Drosophila melanogaster: one gene and its partner. The gene in region 1 interacts genetically with each later gene. Each region holds a gene or a part of one and is shown on either strand. Other genes may lie near its edges.

Region 1 (10,987 bases):
ATACATACATTCTTGACCAACGGATTGTGTTTGCCTATTTGTACGGACATGTGTAGATACTTTTGTATCTGTGCGCACGAGATACAGATTCTCAACAAGCTCTCGCCGGCCAGCTGCCCACTCAAAAGTTGACTTTTCGCTGCCGTCCGGGCAAACAAAAAGCGAATCACAAACAGCACAGAAATACGATGAGAAATGGCATGATAGACAGGGGAGGGGGGAGGAAGAAAGAGGAAACAGCCCAGTTGCACTTTTAGTCGTGTGATTAATATGCCGAGCTAGAAAAAATGCCGAATGGGCGCATTTTAGATAAGCATTTGGTTGGATGATGACTCATCGTCTTCGAGCACCAGGCAATCGTTACTCCACACACCGAGCCACTTTGTTTATCTTTCTATATGTGCGATGCGAAATTTTTTGGGATAAACAATCTGCAGATTCAGATGGAGAATAATCCCCGTAAGCAGTATGCACACACAATATCTGGCCTATTGCCACAGCGAAAATTCTGGAAAACGTGTTATCTGCAAAGTGGGCGTATAAATAAGATATAGCCGCAGATAGAAAAGATTCCCATTTTCATGCGAATTGAAAAGCTCCAAGGAATCCAAGTGCGGCAAGTGGAAAGTTTTATGGCAGCAGCCCGGCACTGATAAGACTGGTTGGAACTACGTATCATAAAAGGTAAGTTGGGACAGTGATACCTCGTTGCGCGGAATCAAACTTTTTGTATGGAGCATACGTTCTGCACAATAAAATAAAATGGGAATTCAAAATTCATTTGAAATATCAATAAAAATAGTTAATAATAAAATACAAAATATTGTGGGCGTAGAATTTGTATGTCCAATAGCAAAACCTTTTAGCTTTTAAAGTTCTAGCGATCTCGACGTTCATACATATGTTAGCAATAATACAATTTATTTAAATAAACCATAAAAGTGTTGGCATATAACTTTATAAAAATTCGCGTTCTTTGAGTTGGACACACCAATTTGAATATTAGTCATGCACTCTGTGGGGGGAAAATTTGTATGGGCATGACATCAAAGTTGGGATTGTTATGCCCGTAGAGCTTTGGTTGGGGTCACTACAATTTCCTCGGCCCTTAGTATGGCGTCCAAGCATTTCTGACCACTTCGAAAACCGACGATTGCAAACACCCAAGCGCGGGTGTGCTGCCTTTGTTGTTCCTGGCTGTTCTTTTCGCTTTTTGCTTTTTGCTTTCTGCTGCTTCGACATTTGTGCCAGCCAGCCGCGTTCATTTTATATTTTTCTTGTTCAATTTTTTATAAACAACGCACACACTTACGATTGCCCTGTGAGAAACGAGAGTCGTTTGTGGTATTTGTTTTTGTACTCATAAAAGTTTAATAAGCATGCCTCAGTGTTCTTTTCCTCGTGGTTGTGTGGGTGTACGCCGTACATCGACAATGGAAACCTCGCCGTTGCACCACCCCCAACCGAGCCCAAAGTGAGCCCCCCCACCACCACCACTTTGCCACACCAAGTATTATTTAAGTAATCATTTATCGTTGCTGCTCGCCTGACATTTTGCACGATGTTTGTCGGCTTTTGTTTCGTCTAACGAGAAACACCGGATCGATTGGGTTATATTGAGCTAAGTAATGTGTCGGCACACGGTTTCTTATCACCACATAATGCTCGTTCCGCGAACAGATCAATGTTTGTTGTCACACTTGCCCCGATGACCTCACTTATCTGTTCATAAATCCCACCGATCTTAAGCTCATAAAATATGTGCTCAAGTCTATTTGTCAAAAAATAAAGTAATTAAGGAATATTTGTCCAAACTGTCATCTGCAATACAAATACAATCATGGTTGGGTATCACTCAGTTATCAGTCTTGTGTTGGTGCTCAATGGTTCGAAAAGTGATTATTCGACTGAAGTCAGTCAGGTTATCAAACAATACAGCTACCAAACATTGTCTTTTATTGCTTAACTGTAAAGTCTTAGCAAAATTCCAATAAATGGGACTCCTTATCAGCGGAGTGCAACAAAAGATTCGCAGAAATGTATTAATCCTCTATTGAATCCATTTTTTACTGCTCTATATTACTTATTTGTTTTTCAAAAACTAATTAGCATTAGGGTCAATATTTCCATAACCAATGATTTGGGTTTTTCAAGTAATAAATAAATATGATCTTTAATTTTTTAATAATAAGTACAGCTTTGATTACGAGCTAGACAGATTTTCGGGTTTCAAACTTGATAATTGGGCATATTGACAAAAATATTTGTAAAATACGTTGTAGTAAGTTCCTCAAAGTAACTTCCTCAGAAACTATAGATTGAAGTTTTGATTCGCTAGTTCGGGGGCCATCTACTACCACCAGAAAAGCATTTTGCCAGCGATAAGCAGGCACAATATGTGTAAGTACAGTAGGCCCCCAATCTATTGAAGGCGCAGCAGAGTGCTCCATTTACGACAATGAAATGCAACGCAATAAACGACTTTGATAACGAGGTGTCAATGTAACAAAGTAAATAACGAGAGTCGCCGATAAGAAGCCGGCTTGATTTGCGCTTGAGGATAGTGATTCGCATAATAGCGCAATAATTAGCACTGCCTATATCGAAGATCCAGAAATAACTTTAAACACATGTGGTGGACTGGATTGGTGGCGATAAACTTTGCTGCATAAATACATATGTTCAAATCTGACGGGAGTGAGTTCCAACACGATATAGAAGAACTAATTGGGGAAACGAACTTTGAGCACCCTATAGTTTTAAGTATCGTGGCATTTAGAGTATATCTGTTCATTCGAATCTATATACAATATATTTTCAATATATAAAAGCCACATTACTACTTTATTTCAATTCAGGGTGAACTTTAAATGTAAAATATAGTTTCTCAGACCGTAAATACAATTCTGAATAAAGTACAATATTATATTGTATCTCCCTTTCATCTATAAAATTAATGATTTTAACCACTGTTAATAAATAATGGTAGTTATATAATGTATGCGTTTTATTAGTTGACATAAACGAAGAAACCCCTCTGCCAACTAACCTATGTAAGTTGACCGTCCACCTGGCCATTGATTGGAGGACCCACTATGACCAATGATAATCTACGGTGTCCACAGCAATGCGATCGGGTTTATCAAATGTGAAACGCCAAGGGGTTAGCTAACGTCGGCGTCGCTGACAATCGTAATTTGTCCGAAGTGGTAGAAGCCAGCCGGGTTATAGCCAGGCCAAGAAGTCATGGTGGAGAGAGGGGAAGCCCGCGACGGAGGAGGGGGCAGTAAGCGACCGACGACAGCGAGCAAGATAAAAGTGTTGAGCGCGCAGAAGTCGGCGACGTATGAAAGCAAGAGTAGCATGTGAATATGAGAATGATAGGGCCCCGTACGTCAGACACTTGAAAAAATAGTGCTAGAGTAACAGTTAAATATGTGTTGCCAAATGTTGTGATACCAGGTGTTGAATCGGGCCCCAACACATGGGATTAATTTACCAATGCCTTATACAAAAAATTGTATTATGTATTTATACAAAAAAGCTTAATTTTTTAAACAGAGGACATTAAATATATATAATTTTTAGTTTTATAGCCTCGCTTTCTCGCTGTGCAAGGGAGCGAGTGGGACGGTGAGATGGGGAACAGCTAATATACTCGATATCAGTGTTGTTGTTGCTGCCATTTGTGCTATTGCACTCGAAATTCTTGTTGCCTTTGTTTTTATGGGCTTTCCAGGAAACAACAATGAACGGGGAAGAAGAAGACCGGGAAACAGGAGCGTGAAGAACACATGTGCATGTGTGTGGGTATTTTGTTGATGTATAAATAAAGCGTCAAGTGGAAACACATGATGATGGTGCATCGAATTTGTGGCCAAAAGGCAGAGAACCTTCGTGAAGGCCTTGCGGAACCACCACACGCCCACCCACATTATTTGCGCAGTGCACATTTGCAGCGGAGTCCTCCCACCCACACACGCATTTATATACGTACCCCCCACCACTCGTAAATTTGTTGCTCTTTTTCTCCTATTTCTATTTACCTTTGGTACACAAACACCAACGCACAACACTGTGTAAACACACACGGCTGGCTGGTATCGGTTAGTTTGTATTGGTACGCCTGCCGCTGTTGCTCTTCGATATTTTTTATTATGTATTTGCCGTTTTATTTTTAAATCGCGCTGGCTTCACGCACACACAAACATTACACACACGACGCAGTGCGAGGGAGACGGAACGCACATGCACACCCGCACACGCACTGAGAATTTAGAAAAAAAAACTAGAGTCTCGACCAAAGGAAATCCTATCAGTTAAACGAATCCTTGAAAACAAAGTGCACTTGCAAAAGAATTCAACTGGTTGCGCATTTGAAAATTGCTCCGCATTCGAACAATTCCCTATAGTGGCTAAAAAACGACTGCCGCGTCTCTAGAGTTGGAGCGAAAGCGATCCACATGCGATACTATCGGACGATGAACACATGTGAACAATCGCTGTTAACAGTGGGTATCGATTCTGATAAATCTCTGCCAAACCGGGAAGATAGGAAATTCTAATTAGAAAATAAGTTGATTTAATTTTATAGAGCAGCGCAGTAAAATATTGTTAACAACCAGGGACCAAAGCTCGATAACTATGGTAAAACAAAATTTTTGAATTGTTATTACTTATAAATTTTTGACTTGGAATGCACATAATTAAACAAATAGCATTTAGGATTTTTCGTAAAGATGTTCTAAAAGAAACATTAAGACTAAACAAGTTACGAAATATATATCTCTATCGTGCTAATATTCCACTAAACTTTGTGAGTTAATTAAAGAAAAATAAGTTGATTGAAGTTATTATTTAGAAGTAAAATGAATTTGATGGTGGAAAACTCTGATAACCCGAAGTGCAACCCTCGCACCCCTGTTAAGTTAACAGCACTGTCGGCTGCTAAAGAATAAACAATTTGCGAAGCTAATTGCGATAAACAAACATTTATCAAAGGGGGTTTACACCCATTTTCGCATCATTGTGGCGCCGCAGATATGAGTGCGCATGTTGTCTGTACACACACGAGCTGCCACCCACACATATGCACCGCTGGCGGTGTAATTAATTGCATTTGATTGATTTGTCCACCGAAAGTCAAGGTTACCCCAGACGCAGAGAAGCACAATTAATGGTCTTTTGCCAACTCTTGTGTATTCTGCATATAAACATACGCGACTTCTGAATTTTCACCTGTTGTGCGCAGCAACAAGCGAGCATGAGAATGCCACCCCCGACCCTCTTTAAATGAAGAGGGTTGGTGCTCGGAGAGGGGTTTTTTTAAGGCTGTGCCCCGTCTAATCAATAGGCCTTAAATAATTAATCCATTCCACAATCGGCGCAGCACAGCAAATCACTCACCTTTCAGATTGCCTTTTTGGTTATGGCAGGTGTTGGGGGAAAAACGCTTTTTATCCTTAAAACAACACCGCCTGCAGCTCACGGCTGTTGGGCCACCTAATTCCAGGGCAAATAGTCTTAATTATCACTTTTAAAACGCACTAAATTTACGTTGTTTTCGTTTTGCGAGCACTCGAATTTTTGCGAACGCGACTACCAGCATATTTCGATATACAGCACCCCCGCAAAAGATGTTATCGCGTAATCGCCGGAGGTGCCACCTGTCACAACCGATGGCGCGCGTTTTAAAAACGATTGAGATAATCGATCAGTTAAACAATTTTGTAAATTTTAATAATAAAAACACACTAACATACAAGAATTACATAGTATATGCTGGTGTGAACACCCTCAAATTCATGACTATTTTAACAGTCGCAGCGCCTTGACATTGAGTTGGCAATACACAATATACAAAATGTTCGGGTAAATCGTAATCATTAATCTAGGAGTGTTATTGTCAAAGCAACACCATTGAATACGAGGTCCTGGGGAGCAGTATGTGCCAGGCGAGTCATTATTCAGACAGTTTATTGGCTGATATACTTTCGGCTTACGGCGATAATAAATCAATTACGGTTAATAACAAAGTTAAGCGCTTTCGGGTGTCTTCACTTCATCGCTTCTCTCCCTCACAACTAACAGCTAAAAAATATCTAACAATTAGAGCATGTCGGTGCTTCACTTCTATTTCCTCAGCTCATCCATCGATCGCGAGACTTAAGATCAAAGCAGTGCGTTTTTGGTGTGGTGTTTATGGGTGACGAGTGGCAGGGGCAGGGAGCTGGGCTATTTCTCAACCCGTCTCAAGTTGGCCAGCTCCGTGAGCCACGCCTTGATCAGATCGTAGGTGGAGAAGCTGATGCCCACGGCGATGGGTCCCTTGATCCAGTTCATGCTAAGTCCCTTGTAGAAACCGTTCTTGACGCCCTCCTCACTGTTTGGAAATCGTAATTAAAATCGCAATTAAAATATGAATAAAATCGTTGACAAAGATTTGCACGCACCGATAGATCTTGACGAGAGTCTCCAGGATGGTTGGGTACCGATCTCCGCCAGCCGTGTTCACCCGCATTGTCTGCATTCTTCGCCGCACAATGTCCAATGGATAGCTGGCCGTTTGCCCGGCGGCACCAGCCGCAGCACCGAAGGCCAGCGAGACTAGAGTATTGGGTTTATTGTTGCCGACCACTTCTGCAAGCAAACAAGTCATTTAGTTGGCAAATTCAGTGAGCACTTAATTAGAATATAGGTAACTTCTACTAGCATAATCAAAATAATGACAATGACCCAGAATGCCGGTTTAAATTGAAATTATCTGTATAATTCCACAATAAACTTGGGGCTTAAAACCGAATTCTATGGACATATACAATATACAAGAATTTTTAAATGAACATCTCCCCTAAGTCTATAGAATTTTATATTAGGATATAGGTAGTATTCCTACCATAGTATTCCCGCTTAAGAGTCTCGTAGGTGAAGAAGGAGGTGCCCGCATAGGGAATCACGCCGAGAACGGTCGCCCAGTAGCCGCGGAACAGCGTCCGCGGACCCTCCTCCACCCAGATCTTGGTGAAGACTTGTCGCAGCGTCCGATAGCCAGTATACCGATCCGTGACGGCCATGCGGGCGCGTGCCAGGTCCAGAGGATACGTCAGCGACTGTGAGGTGATTCCCGCCAGGGAGCCAGCCAAAAACCGACGACCTTTCGTGCTGCAAAATAGAATGATTCGCCATGAAGTTGGTGAGAATCTAGAGCATAGTACAACTCACTTGGTGCCGTCCTTGTCGACGTGCAGGATGCGACGCCACTGCTCGTGGGCCGTGAACTGTATGGCTGCGTAGGGCACGATTCTGGCCATCGTGGCCGAGTTCCCCCGCCACAGGGCCAAAACGCCCTCGTTGGCATAGGTGTTTTGCAGGTAGCGCAGCGAGGCTCGAAACGAGAAGGGCACATCGTTGCGGATCTGGAAGTTGATCTTTGTGCGGTCCAGCGGGGCGATGACCGTCTTGGCCAGCGCCCCCGCCGCTGCTCCGGATATCAGGCTGATCACCACCTGGTCGATTTTCTGGCGCACTGAAATAGTAAATGGTAGAAAATGAATAGAAAATCTCAATATGCATTCATACCCGAATGCGCGACTATGGATAAATAAACGGAGGGACATAGGAAACTTTGACACTCCACTACGCTCTATAATTTAGTTCGGTTTGAAGTCAAATACTCGACATTTTACTGTCGACAAACACAAAAATTCAAGAGTTTTCATTGTGTCGCCAATGTAATTTAGCGTTTCCCTAATTTTTGTTTGGACATGTTTGGCATTCAAGTGGAATCGAAGTGCCTACTATAAAATGAGTCCTGGATTTAAGCTCATAGTTAAATAGGTCCATTTTATAATGCTTAGTAGTTACTAGGAATTGGAAATCACATTGCGAGAAAGTTCATTGAATTTGATTTTTGTACATGTTAATTAAGATTGTAGCTTTATTTACTGCCTTCAAGTATCAAAATGTTTGAAATCCTTGGCTATGCGTCTGGAAAACAAATCTCTCGTGAATTGTCTTTTGCGCCTTACTTACTGGGTGTGACTGTAGTGGCGGGTACGAGGACTACTCCAGATGTTTCCGATGGACTCAGCTGGGTGCGGGATGTGTCCGCATCGTCCAGGTCCGAGGACAGCGTCGCCGAGGCTGTCGTCATCGTGCTCGAGAGCTGACTACCCGTGGACTTGATGGACATGGCGATGTTGGGCTTCTCCAGGAGTCGGCTCATCGCAGACTCGGACTGGGGGACCTGAAATCAATTTGCATATCAATCTGAGCCGGCTATATTGGACCACCAAAAAAGCGCAGGCTTATCGACACCACTGATAAGAGCTCAATATGGCCAAAACTAATCTAAACCAGCCGAAAATTGCTTTGCTTTCATAAGACTTCCCAGCAGAGACACATATAGCAAACTGAGTGGGCGCTGCTGTACAGCTGAGGTCAACATAATAGCACAACTAACTTATATATTAATATTTTGAGAATGAAGCTTCTAAAATCCAACTAACAGGTTAGGTTTAAACTGAAAGCATTTCTATTGTACCATGAATTATTGGTAAATGATTTTATTTTAATCTAGAATTCTTCTAAGCACAGTAGCTAATAGTTTAGGTGCAACTTTATGACAAGTGTTTGGATTTCTTATCAGCCAACGAACGACAAAAACACAGCTTTGGATTTCGCTGATAATTGATATGTGTGACCAATAATGAAAAACAATAGTACTGCTCTTATTATTGTATTGATTGTGAAGAGTAAATAAATTGGGTGCTACTCTTGCACAGACAGGTGTATTTATGGAGCCCAGGAAAATATTATGTGCGCCTGTTGATAGCGAAAACACACATTTCGCAAGTTCATGCAAATAATATTCAATTGCTCTCGCAATTGTTTCGTAATTGTTAGAAGCACGTTCCCTTGGCATAGGTTCAAAAATAGGCACTCGGATGGCTTTTAGCGTCCAACCAACCCATAATATTGACCAATATTCAGCTATCTGGCCAAGTACCATTGGCTCCCGGCAATTGAACTTTGCTTTGGGCCCCAAGTCGAGTCATTCTCGAGCCAACTACTCGGGTTCTCAGCCGGAATTGATAAGGCTTTGGCCAGCTGCTAATTGGGTCTCACATTAGATAGAAGTGGAGTGTTCCAGAAGAGATCGGAACGGATCGATGTACCCGCTCTCGCCTCTCTCGCACTCCAAAGAGCAAACAAGCCCGCAAACCGGTTGGTTTCGTTTGCTCATTATGGAAGGCAAAAGGCACCGAATTATCAGTTGATATATGTACATATGTACATAAGTAAGTGCCCAGTGTATATATATGTACATACATATATATGTACCTGTTTATGTGTGGCACACACCTCCAAAACAATTATCATGCCGAAATATTAAAATGTGAGCTCAGCTCGCCCGAATGTGCGGAATATGACAGCACGTGTGTTTTGATTACCGATTTTTTTGGGGGGTTGGGCACTTTTCCAAGTTCAACAGCTGAGCGCGGCTAAAATTAAACGCTTTTCATTGAGCAGCCGGTGCGGGAAATCTTTGGGAGCAAAAACCGAGAGCGTTCATCAATGCGATTGCAAATGAGTGGAAAAGTGCAACCTTGAACGTGAGCATCTGAGCTGTACAGTGGATACTGGTTAAGGATGGCAGTAAGCATATTTTACTATTTTTAAATTATATAGAAGTGAGTCGACTAACTACTACTAAGCAACTACTAAGATTAAGGAAATTAACTAAATTATATTGATTTTATAGGCTGATACGTTTCAAATGCAACCTTCTGGTACAAGTAATCACTGTACCTAGCGATTTCAGCTCTTCTATCTTGAAAAGTTGGGCCAAAAGTAGTTTAGCAAATATTCCGCGCCTTTGCTTGCGGCTTAAGTGTGATTTTAGCACAGCCTCTTGATATGTGCCCCCTCCATAAACAAATTTTTTGATAAGGAATTCGAGCGATGAACGACACTTTTCGACCACTGTGCACTGGGATGCTGTTGTTGCCGGCGCTTGATAAACGTAAACAAGCTCGTTAGGCGGTGTTTGTGCACTTTTTTCTCTGCTATTGCACTCAGTCAAGGTTGTGGCTTACTACGGATCCAGTTTATCCAGCAAGTGTTTTCCACTTTGCTTCTGGCTATGAAATTTGTTTGCTATAAATAGCCCGTTGGAGGGGGGGGGGGGGTCGATGCGGGATGTAGATAGTAAAGCAGCTACAACATCATTCCAACTGGACTTTGTACCCCCTTGGAGGAAAATAACAAAAACCAAATGGGGCAATGGAAATTTATGCAAATTACTCGGAAAGTGCACTTTCACATGCGCGATTTTCTAGCCAATTTATTTCCTTGAACAATAATTCGGAATACTTTTGTTTGTTGTTTACAAAACTGGATTTGATTTATAAGAATCATACGTGACTTAATTCTGATTGGACTGAGTGCGCCTAGGGGAATGAAAAACAGCTGTTGCTTGTAAGTGTTGTTGTTTGTTTCTCTTAAATTTAAGTACTTTGCGATAAAGGCCACTGTGCACCAACTGTTTGGCAATCCATTTATTCGCTCTTGTTTACACCGATTAAACGCTTGCAACATCCCAAAAAGACCACTCACACACGGACACCTTATATAATTGGGCAAAACGAGAACAACAAATTATTTTGAACACACACACGTATACATATGCGTACATATGTACGATTTCATGTGTGTTTGGCCCTACACGCACCTTTGTTTTTGTTAGCACAGATTCTTTTTTTTCGGCCTCCCTTTTCGCTCCTTCGGCCTTGGCAACAATAACAACAACACACAGCAGTGGTAGGCGTTTCGCACTGATTTTCGATTCCAAAAACACAGGTGCTGTATTCTCTTTAACCGCGAGCTAATTCTTTGTCTTTATTTCGGATTTTTCTATTTGTTAATGCACATTTTCCGCGCGATTCTCGGACTCCGCCTGCGAAGCTCCAAAGAGCAATTGACAAAA
Region 2 (10,987 bases), on another chromosome or scaffold:
GCTTCCTCAGATCGAGATCGAAACATTCTCAGATTGCAAATGTTTTTGCTCTTATTTGGATCTTCCACAATTTTAAACCCGATACTGATTCCGTCTATAATTAACAACATTGAGATCGTTTTCGCGTGTGTAATAACATAATAAAAACATAAGTGTAATAACTAATTTGCCCTGAAGGATTACCAGCAGGATAGCTACTGCGAGGCAGGACGAGATGGGCAGCGTAAAGAAGGTATAGGTGAAGAATGACGTAACCAGGGTCTGAAGCCGCCGTTCCAGCGGAACCCGGAGAGGAGCCCATTCGATTGTCATGCTCAATTAGACCGATCTTCAACACAAGAAGCGACTATTTCGACGAGTTTCCAGCGACTGAGCGATCAAGTATCAGCACACACAATTTCCAGGGTGTAACGTGGAGTACTTATCCTTATCAATGTGACGACCCGCCTCTTCGCAGCGATCCGCAAGTGTCGTTAACAGTTTGAGAACCACACTTAAGTGATAAGCCATTGATAATTGCCTAAATCCAGACACTAGACATCACACACTAGGTGGGGGGCATGGGGTAAGATTAGGTCACTACGCAGATGATCTGAAAAGTAGCCAGTGAAACTCAGATTTATTTGCCCAAATTATAGTCAAATCAGTCCGATAACTGATCTAAAGTGGCTGTAAATATTGATTCGATCTTAGCTGGTTGTTTTCAATCGACGGCAGCTGAATCATATCTTGGGAACCCGGTACTATTCCAATGTTTATATGGTTATGCCGGCAACAGTCATTCCTATCGCGATCGATTCTTGACCTTTACTCGAAGAACCTAATGCTGAGGTCACACGTTTTGGCGGTGCTTCGCAACAGTCAGAACACTCATTCCATTGTGCGTACGCCAATAGTGTGTTCTGCGATAAGGAATCTAGTCGATTTTGTCGTAGTTTTACTAGAGATCTGTGTCGCCCTTATCAGCCGATTGTTTCATTCACAAAAGTGCTGATTCACGCAGACTTTGTTACATTGAACTGAAATTATAGTGTAAGTACTATGAGTATGCACATTTCTTTATTTGCAATGCAATGTGTAATCAACTTGTAATGAGACAACCAGTTTAAATTCAATTAAAAAGCTCGTTTCTATTTCAATACATAGGAATATTTTGTATCAACATGATTTAAAACTAGTGTACAACTAGAGTGGCACTCTTCGAATTCTCCAAGTACTTGTCTTTGTACTGATCGAATAACTTCTCCAGCGACTCAATGACCTGTCCATGCACTTTATCCACATACTCCGAGTCTGGGTGCTCGTTCTTAACAACATCGATGGGAGCACCAACTGGGAATTAAAATATTATTACCACTTATTTGCGTAAAGTATATAAAAATATAACTTACCAACTTGGACAATGCGTCGTCGGAATGGGAGGAAGCCAAAGGTGTAGTTGAAGAATCCGCGGCCCACAGGAATCAGCGGAGAGACTCCGGTGAGCTTCTTGACAAAGTCCTGAAACCGTCGGAGCAGCGAGTTGGGGGGATTTGCCACCTGATCGAAAATGTCCACCTCTCCAAAGGAAAATGAAGGAACAATCGATGAGCTGAAATCAGGATATATGTAAATGGGAATTTAAATTACACTCGAACCCATTACTTACCCCGTTCTAATGGCCATTCGCACGAAGCCTTTCCTATTCTTCAAGGTTAAAATGTACTGCCCAGGATGAGAGTCCATGGCTTCCTGGGCACCGCCAACCAGAATGGCCACCGCATTGGAGGTGAAACCATCCCGATTATCCTTGTGCTTGGGATCATTTGACTTGCTGAGCATACGGATCAGCGCCTCTTTGGACACTGACACCAGACCCCAGCAGCGGAGGACCTCACGCATGAACGGAACATGGAAATGCTGATCCAGAGTGCCCAGTTTGGGACGCACTTGGGGGAATAGCTCCAGCCACTTGGAGATTTCCAAGCCCATGTTAATGCCAATGCCTGTGCTACAATAAAAATCAGTGTCTATTTATATTCGAACGATTAGATTGGCTATCTGTCAAGGTGCTTACCCCAGAATTCCGTGGGGAAAGCTGGCCAAGATGTAGTTCTTAGTAGCTGGCAGTTCGGCTGTTTTCACCAGCTCCACGGGAAAGTAATCACGATAGTGGCGATGCAAAAGGTTGGTGCGTGTTATCATCCAGCTGAGCGATATACACAGCGATATAATCTTACAGAGACTTTCGTTAGTATTCGACTTACCCATTGCCATCCACAACGGATTGGGTTTTCTTGTGGTGCACAAAGACGTAGGCCAAGTAAGTTACCATCAGACTACGCACCAAAAGACCTCCGTAGATCTGAAGGGAAACTCATGTTCTGTAATACTTATGCATATGACTAAATGGTTAGTGTCTTACCAGTGATCCAGCTACCAAAAGGAAGGAAACTGACAATAGTATCAGCAGCATGGAGGTGAAAAAGGCCGTGACCAGTATCTGCAGTCGGCGTTCCAGAGGAACCCGCAGTGGTGCCCACTCGATTTTCATGTCTGCTGTGTTACAAAAATGCCCAAAAAAACTCCACCAGCTGCTCTTTCGGCGGTTCTCCCACGACTGAATGATATGGAAGCCAGCGATGGTCAAATTGCCCTGTACTAGACTTATACTTATCCTTATCGGCTCTCGGCTTCATGCAGGGCGCCCGCATTACCTGCTAATCACAAGCCAACTAACCAGTCAGTAGCACTTTGTGTGGGGCTGATGGGAATTCGCGATTGGAGTGATGAAGATTATAAACTCGGCATGCAATCGCCGTCTGGGTGCAAAGGTATGCGGCGATTCCTAGGAGATTACCCACTTTCAAGAGCACTATGATTCAATAAGCATTTTATGCTGTGGGTCGTATTTCTTAAGATTTATAAGTCAGTTAAGTGATAAGCTGTATTACTTTTATACTACATACAACGAAATTACAAAAACATACAACGGATTAAGTTGTATGCTTGTATGATGAAATAATTGTTTTTTAATTGAAGGCTGTAGTTTAAAAATCAATAAAGCTGGTTGAACAGGGATTATTAGAAATAAATGATAATGCTGTTATTACTACATTTGGTATATTCTGCGCTCATTGTTATGTTTTTTCCCTATATATCAATTAATAAATCATAGTTATTCATTTTAAATTGAACGCCAACTTCTACTGATCGTTGATCAACACTGTTTGCCGTCTTATCGATAAATAATTGCTATCAATAGCGATAGCTGCTTATTCAAAGTTTCGATCACTACCCGTCGTTTTAAAAAGCTTGTATGGCAATTTTATTTGCCTGATAAAATTCGTAATTTTTATATTAAATGCTTATAAAGCACTCATTTGATCACATTGTTTAGACAATAACTTCTCGACTAGTGTATAATCAGCTTGTCCTGCTTGGAGTTCGGTATGTACTGATCCTTGTACTTGGCGAACATCTTCTCCAGGTCGTCAATAACCTGTTTGTGTATCTTATCCACATAGGCTGCGTCTGGTTGATCGCTCTGAACCACGTCGATGGGAGCGCCAACTGAAATTTTTTAAAGTTTATTTGAATCTTACAACTATGCGACATTTGAATGAGCTGAGGACTCACCAACTTGGACAATGCGTCGACGGTTGGGCAGAAAGCCAAAGGAGTAGTTGAAGATGCCCCGGCCAACGGGAATCAGCGGAGATATCCCCGTTATCCTCTTTACAAAGTCTTGAAAGCGACGAACCCGAGAGTTCGGTGGATTGGCAACCTGATCCAGAATGTCCACCTCGCCAAAGGAAAACGTGGGAACAATCGAAGACCTAAAATGAAGACCGGATACAATTAAAAATAACTTTTAGTTGTATCCGATTTCAACCTACCCTGTCCTAATGGCCATTTTAACGAATCCCTTGCGGTTCTTCAGTGTCAATATATATTTGCCAGGGTGCGAGTCTAGTGCCTCCTGGGCACCACCCACCAGAATAGCCACCGCGTTGGAGGTGAACCCATCACGATTGTCCTTGTGCTTGGGATCGTTTGATTTGGTTAGCAGATATACTAAGGCCTCCTTGGAAACCGACACCAGGCCCCAAGATCTCAGGAGACCACGCACGATGGGCGTCAGGAAGTTTTGATCCAAAGTGGCCACCTTGGGCCTCACCTGTGGGAACAGTTGCAGCCACTTGGAGATGTCTAGACCCATATTAATGGAAATGCCAGTCCTATCAGGGTTACAATATGTGCGTAAGAAGGTATACAAATGTTTCGTCACCTAAGCAACCATCGATAAGATTGACTATCAGTCAACAAGCTTACCCCAAAATTCCGTGCGGAAAACTGGCCAAAATGTAGTTCTTATTCGGCGGCAGCTCTGCGGTCTTGACCAGCTGTACGGGAAAGTAGTCCCGATAATGCCGAAACAGCCAATTGTTGCGGTTAATTTTCCAGCTAAAATGGATTATTTTAGCTTTAAGTGTTCTTATAGGGACTTCATGACGCCTACCCATTGCCATCCATAATGGAGTGGGTTCTCTTGTGATTCGCGTAGACGTAGACCAAATAGATGACCATAATGGTGCGCCACAAAAGGCTTCCATAGAACTGGAAGGGAATGCTTTACTTTTCAAAATATTGAAGCACTGATGTATTTACCAGCACGGCAGCAACGAAGAAATAGGATCCAAAGGAGAGTATCATAAAGGATAGGATTAGGAAGGCCATGGCAAACGTCTGGCGACGCCGTTCCATGGGAACTCCTTTGGGAGCCCACTCGATTTTCATGATGTCAGAGCTCTCGAACTCGGAAAGTTGAACTACTTGGTAGCACGGTCCTCCGGCGACTGAAAAATGGAAATGTTCAATGTTTAGTTACCATTTCTTATCCTTATCAGTATCCGTCGGTGGCGCGAGTGCGTGGCTATTGGTTAGAGTTGTTAAAAAAATACCTTCGATTTAATGGCTATTCGCTTGGGGTGTTTAAAAATTCGAGCAATCAAGATAATGACTTGCTCTATATGGACGTCTGGCTAGAATGCCGATATGATATTATATGATATGATCTTATCATTGCCAACAACAGCCGGCTTTAACGTTTGTCCGATACTTGTGATCACATATATATAATTATTGTTTTGAAATTTCAATTGCAACTGGTTTGAATGCCTTTAGAAAGAGAACGAAACTGCTGTTGCACGACAACCTCCTCACTTTAATTGAATGGTGATAAAACTAACTGGGAGTTACTCGTATTGCTTTTGATCCGATCCGCTTTGGCCTAGTATCACAGGCTAATTATTTTAAACTTGTAGAGCTTTAATAAACTAGACGCTCCCATAGAAATTTATTATTAATGTTTACACACGTAATGGATCGTTATCGCGTTTGAGCAGCAGAACCGACGATGCGAGCGTACAACATTTAACTAAACTTGCGAGTGGCACTGAATGCTCGAGTTTCCCATGTGAGTGTTTCGAGTACTCGAATGCGATGCAACAATTGAGTCACCAATGTAATCGAGCGTTCTATACGAATAACCTGAATCAGAGGCAACTGAGGTCATGTGCATTTGCAAGTCGCTATAAGGAAATACCTGTATTGTCAGCTCTGTTCCAATTGAAATGGAATCAGGGAAAGTGTGATCACGCAAAAGCTACAATGTGGGCGAAATTAGCATAGTTGTTTTTTGGTTAATTTCGAATATTGGCGCCCAACATGGTTTCTAGGGATGGAAGCGACCAGCACTGCATTCTGATTTATCGGTTTGCTGCAATACAAGCTCTTTTGGCGCAACAGATCATAGAAGATTGAAATACAAACGTTGTTGGTGGTATCACAAATGAAAATTGCGAAGAGTTATCTGAAGTCAATGTTCTATGCTTATCCCAAGCCCTGGCGCTACTATGACGGAGTAGCGATCCAAATTTTTGCATTTCAAATGACCCCTAGTCCAATCCCATCCATACGATCAAGTACAATACGATGCAGTGAAGAGGTGAAAAACAAATCAAAACAAAATAGCGCAAAATATATTCAACGAGTCCGCCGCTTCTCATCATTCCTCCTTCTTCGTCGCTTTTTTACCATCGCATTTTTGGCCTCAGTTTCTCAGTTCTTTCTCAGTTCAGCAAGATAATCCGAGAAGGACGGATGGTATTGATCTCGAAAGTTGGAATCTAGAAACTAAGTATTCGAATTTGCTGTGTGTGTTATTGAGTTTTGTATCAAAGTGCGTGGTGGCAAAAGTGCAATAAACTTTAAGTCGGTTTTAAACAAATACACATTTCATTCCAACACACACACACCGACACACAACGAAGAACTAAAGAAGGGTTTCAAAAGCAGAACAAGGAAAATGCTTATTTTCTACGCGAAGTACGCATTTATCTTCTGGTTTTTCGTGGGAAGCAATCAAGGTGAAATGTTGCTAATGGACAAAATCTCTCACGATAAGACGCTTCTCAACGTCACCGCTTGCACCCAGAATTGTCTGGAAAAGGGCCAGATGGTATGTTTACACCCTTAGAATGTTGGAACACTCCATAACCAAAAGTGCATGCTTCTTTTCTCGACAGGATTTCCGAAGCTGTTTAAAGGACTGCAGGATTAATGGAACATTTCCCGGGGCTCTGCGCAAGGTGCAGGAAAACTACCAGATGAACATGATCTGCCGCACGGAGTCGGAAATCGTTTTCCAAATAGATTGGGTGCAGCACAGCAGGGGAACCGAGCCGGCTCCAAATGCCACCTACATAATCCGGGTGGATGCTGTCAAGGACGACAACAAAGAAACTGCGCTTTACCTGGTCAGATATTAGATGTAAACTCATTACTATTTACTTTAAAATACCATTTTATTTGATGAATTTCTAGAAAAAGATGTACTATGTAGTCATCAAGACCTAATGTTTCGTTTTACAAGTGGATCGCTCTTTTTCATCGACTTATTCGCTTGCAGTCTGATGACAACTTTCTCATCCTGCCGGGATTGGAGTCCAACTCTACCCACAACATCACCGCCCTGGCGATGCACGGAGATGGCAGCTACTCCTTGATAGCAAAGGACCAGACCTTCGCCACCCTCATCCGAGGCTATCAGCCCAGCAAAATGGGAGCGGTGAATCTGCTGCGGTTTGTCCCCCAACCAGACGACCTGCATCACATTGCTGCCGAAATCGAGTGGAAGCCATCGGCGGGTAAGTAGCTCCATCAGTTTAATCAATCAACGATCTACGAACCCTACTTTCATATTCCAGAGAGCAACTGCTATTTCGACATGGTGTCGTATTCAACCAACAGCGTGAATATGGACGAGCCACTGGAGGTGCAGTTCCGGGATGTGAGTATGCCATGACGCCCCTGCAATGCTAGAGCATAGCTAATCTTTTACTGCAGCGCAAAAAGCTGTACAGGCACACGGTGGACAACTTGGAGTTTGACAAACAGTATCACGTTGGCGTAAGAACGGTGAACATAATGAATCGACTGGAGAGCGATCTGCAGTGGCTGCCAATCGCTGTTCCAAGCTGCTTGGATTGGTATCCCTATAACTACACACTCTGCCGTAGGTTCCTCGAAAGTCCTATATAATAATAATATTAATAATAATAATATTGTTCCACCCTTTCATAGCACCCCATAAGCCAGAGAATCTTACTGTGACCCAGAAGCAGTATCTGCCAAATATTTTGGCCCTGAACATCACCTGGGCGCGTCCCAGATACCTGCCGGATAACTATACACTTCACATCTTTGATCTATTCAAAGGAGGTACGGAGCTAAACTATACACTTGACCAAAACAGGAGCCACTTCTATGTACCCAAGATCACGGTACTGGGTTCCCATTTCGAAGTACATTTGGTGGCCCAGTCGGCAGGCGGAAAAAACGTATCCGGTTTGACGTTGGACAAGGTTCATCGAGGTGTGTTGCTGAGCGGTACGTACGCTGAAGGAAATTAAATATTTAGACATCCATTTCCATCCATTGAACAGAGGGCAACATGGTCAAGTTGGTACTCTTTATTATCGTGCCCATATGCTGCATTTTGATGCTGTGCTCCCTGACGTTCTGCAGACGAAATCGTTCGGAGGTTCAGGCGCTGCAAATGGACGCTAAGGACGCGAAGGCCAGTGAATTTCATCTCTCCCTGATGGACAGCAGTGGCCTGCTGGTCACCCTCTCGGCCAACGAGAGTCTGGAAGTAATGGACGAGCTGGAGGTGGAGCCACACTCGGTGCTCCTTCAGGATGTCCTCGGCGAAGGAGCCTTTGGCTTGGTGCGACGTGGAGTTTACAAGAAACGCCAAGTGGCCGTCAAGTTGCTGAAAGGTTGTACCATTTGGTATTGAAGTTCTTGAATAATTCATGGAATTTTTGTTCTCACAGATGAACCAAACGACGAGGACGTATATGCGTTCAAGTGCGAAATTCAGATGCTCAAGGCCGTGGGCAAGCATCCAAATATTGTGGGTATCGTGGGATACTCCACTCGTTTTAGCAACCAGATGATGTTGCTAATTGAATACTGCAGCCTTGGAAGCCTGCAGAACTTTTTACGGTAAGTTATTTTTATACATATTGGAAAACAAGTGATGTATAGTAAAAAATGTATTACTTAGTGAGGAGTGGAAGTTCAGGCAGGAGCAAAATGCAATTGGACTTAAGAAGAACCTTGAACAGAACGTGGACAACCGACGGTTTAACCGACTCCCTAGAAATTCCATCCATGATCGCATAGAGGATATCAACAACTCGATGCTGTCCACTGTGGAAGAGGAGAGTGAATCGGATCAGACACACTCAAGTCGATGTGAGACCTACACCCTCACTCGAATAACCAATGCAGCCGACAACAAGGGCTATGGCCTGGAGGACATTGAAAACATCGGTGGGAGTTACATTCCCAAAACCGCTGAAGCTCCAAAGGATCGGCCAAAACGGAAGCTGAAGCCGCAGCCCAAGAAAGACTCGAAGCAGGATTTCAAATCGGACAACAAGAAGCGAATCTTTGAGAACAAGGAATACTTTGATTGCCTCGACTCATCGGATACCAAGCCCCGAATACCACTGAAATATGCAGATTTGCTAGACATCGCCCAACAGGTGGCGGTGGGAATGGTAGCCTACATCTACTCTATCCCTAAATGTAATTAAAAAGTGTAGCATGTATCATTTGCCATTTTAGGAATTTCTGGCCCAAAACAAAGTAGTGCATAGGGATCTGGCTGCCCGGAATGTTCTAATCTCCGTAGATCGCAGCATCAAGATAGCAGATTTTGGGTGGGTATCTCTGAAAGTTCAATGATTAGTTATATTGTGTTTTTTTTTTTAAGGCTGAGTCGAGATGTGTATCATGAGAACGTGTACCGAAAGTCCGGAGGAAGTGGCAAGCTGCCCATCAAGTGGCTCGCGCTGGAGTCCCTCACCCACCAGGTGTACACCAGTCAGAGCGATGTGTAAGTATATATTTTTGTTAAGTCCGAAGCGATTTTGTGGCTGATATCTTACCCTCTTAGTTGGTCCTTTGGTGTGCTGCTCTATGAGATCACCACTCTCGGTGGAATGCCATATCCGTCGGTGTCTCCCAGTGATCTCTTGCAGCTACTGCGACAAGGTCATCGGATGAAGCGACCGGAGGGATGTACGCAAGAAATGTGGGTATCAGTGCTTAGCGAAGTACATAATTGTTGATCACATTTGCTTAACTCAGGTTTTCCCTGATGGAAAGCTGCTGGAGCTCCGTGCCATCACACAGGCCAACATTTTCCGCCCTTAAACACAGACTTGGTGGCATGATTTTGGCCACTAACGATGTTCCAGAAAGGCTGAAACAACTGCAAGCTGCAACCGAGTCAAAATTAAAGTCATGTGACGGTCTAAACAGGTAAGTAATCTTTAAAAAGACAATTGTATACGTTACTTTCTTACCTTTTACAATTTAGTAAAGTGGAGCAAGTGCCATGCGAGGAAGAGCTATACCTAGAACCTTTGAATTAATAGTCATTGCTTCAAGATTATAATGAACGAGTGCAATACATTCTAAATTCGAGTTCCAATTCAGACAATGCTATGCGCCAGATAACCTTGCATAGCAATAAACATTAAAGCTAGCCTAAGAAAAATTTAATTTCTTTTTTATAAGAAAAACCAAGATATTTATAGAGTAAACTTCTAGCAGTGCCCTTTATGTCTCATAGAAACCGACCATTTCAAAATGTTTGTGCCTCCTTGCGGCTTAGGTTTCGAAAGAAGGTCGTTTATTTGGACCCCAATCAGCATCATTTTTGAAAATTCCAAATTGAAAGTCGGTCCAAGCTGGCTTGTTTACAGTGTTTCAATTCTACTTCTGGCCACCTCGATCGATGTGCATCCACTGCTGTCGCCTCCGCCGGACACCATGTCCACCGATTCCCTACAGCTGTCCACACTGCCCGGTGCGCACCATCTCCAGCTGCTGTCCACTGGGCAGTCGGCCCCTCGCCGAGAATCCTTTCATAAGAGGTCCGGATCGGGAGCCAACCCCCGATCCCTGCGACACCTTGCCACCGCGCTGGCTGGACCTCAATCGACGGGTCATATTTGCCTTGGCAAAAAGATTATGTCGATCTCCAGAGGCAGCTCATTATATTTTGCTTCGCCTGTTGTATGCCAACTATAGAAAAGTGATGATGATATCCAGAAAACGAAGGAGATACAAGGTGCCACTAAGTGGGTTTCCCGATCAGGATTTGTTCTCCGCCAGCGCACATTTCGATAGCAATGGTTACCTCTCCGATCCCATGGCTCCCGAAACTCTGGGAAAGCTACTCCACATGATGCAGGACTACATCCTTCGGCTGAGAGCGCTGAATCGCAAGTACAAGTGGTGTGGCAACGGCGAGGACTTTGGAGATGTATTGCTCCTATTGGGAGAGCAAGACGAACTGGTACGATTGTTAAGAGATCTCTTTGGAGACAGCGATGTTGTGTCCATTCCAAAGCTCCTGAGCGCC

What was found. Genes that interact genetically often act in the same process or in processes that back each other up.
Region 2: of Stat92E (region 1) and tor, changing one suppresses a phenotype caused by changing the other (phenotypic suppression), as found in Drosophila melanogaster (2 studies listed by BioGRID).

The regions. Positions count from the first base shown.
Region 1 is NT_033777.3:20,546,675-20,557,661, forward strand, and holds the start of Stat92E (Signal-transducer and activator of transcription protein at 92E), read right to left. Parts: upstream 4,434-10,987; 5' UTR 4,047-4,433; intron 1-4,046. Other genes in the region: DPCoAC (dephosphocoenzyme A carrier), read right to left, coding at 6,235-6,382, 6,453-6,639, 6,896-7,161, 7,222-7,525, 8,032-8,224; att-ORFB (uncharacterized protein), read right to left, coding at 6,910-7,161, 7,222-7,525, 7,579-7,616. UniProt on the Drosophila melanogaster protein: Might play a role in signal transduction and activation of transcription.
Region 2 is NT_033778.4:7,704,308-7,715,294, reverse strand, and holds tor (torso), read left to right. Parts: upstream 1-6,110; 5' UTR 6,111-6,349; coding exon 6,350-6,502; intron 6,503-6,569; coding exon 6,570-6,800; intron 6,801-6,952; coding exon 6,953-7,190; intron 7,191-7,250; coding exon 7,251-7,333; intron 7,334-7,389; coding exon 7,390-7,558; intron 7,559-7,626; coding exon 7,627-7,932; intron 7,933-7,988; coding exon 7,989-8,324; intron 8,325-8,381; coding exon 8,382-8,553; intron 8,554-8,614; coding exon 8,615-9,113; intron 9,114-9,180; coding exon 9,181-9,275; intron 9,276-9,328; coding exon 9,329-9,451; intron 9,452-9,511; coding exon 9,512-9,649; intron 9,650-9,705; coding exon 9,706-9,879; intron 9,880-9,937; coding exon 9,938-9,992; 3' UTR 9,993-10,112; downstream 10,113-10,987. Other genes in the region: CG1946 (uncharacterized protein), read right to left, coding at 184-312; Dgat2 (diacylglycerol O-acyltransferase 2), read right to left, coding at 1,175-1,332, 1,392-1,591, 1,649-1,990, 2,057-2,188, 2,247-2,344, 2,405-2,533; CG1941 (uncharacterized protein), read right to left, coding at 3,395-3,552, 3,619-3,818, 3,879-4,220, 4,315-4,446, 4,502-4,599, 4,651-4,779; CG34216 (uncharacterized protein), read left to right, coding at 10,358-10,987. UniProt on the Drosophila melanogaster protein: Probable receptor tyrosine kinase which is required for determination of anterior and posterior terminal structures in the embryo.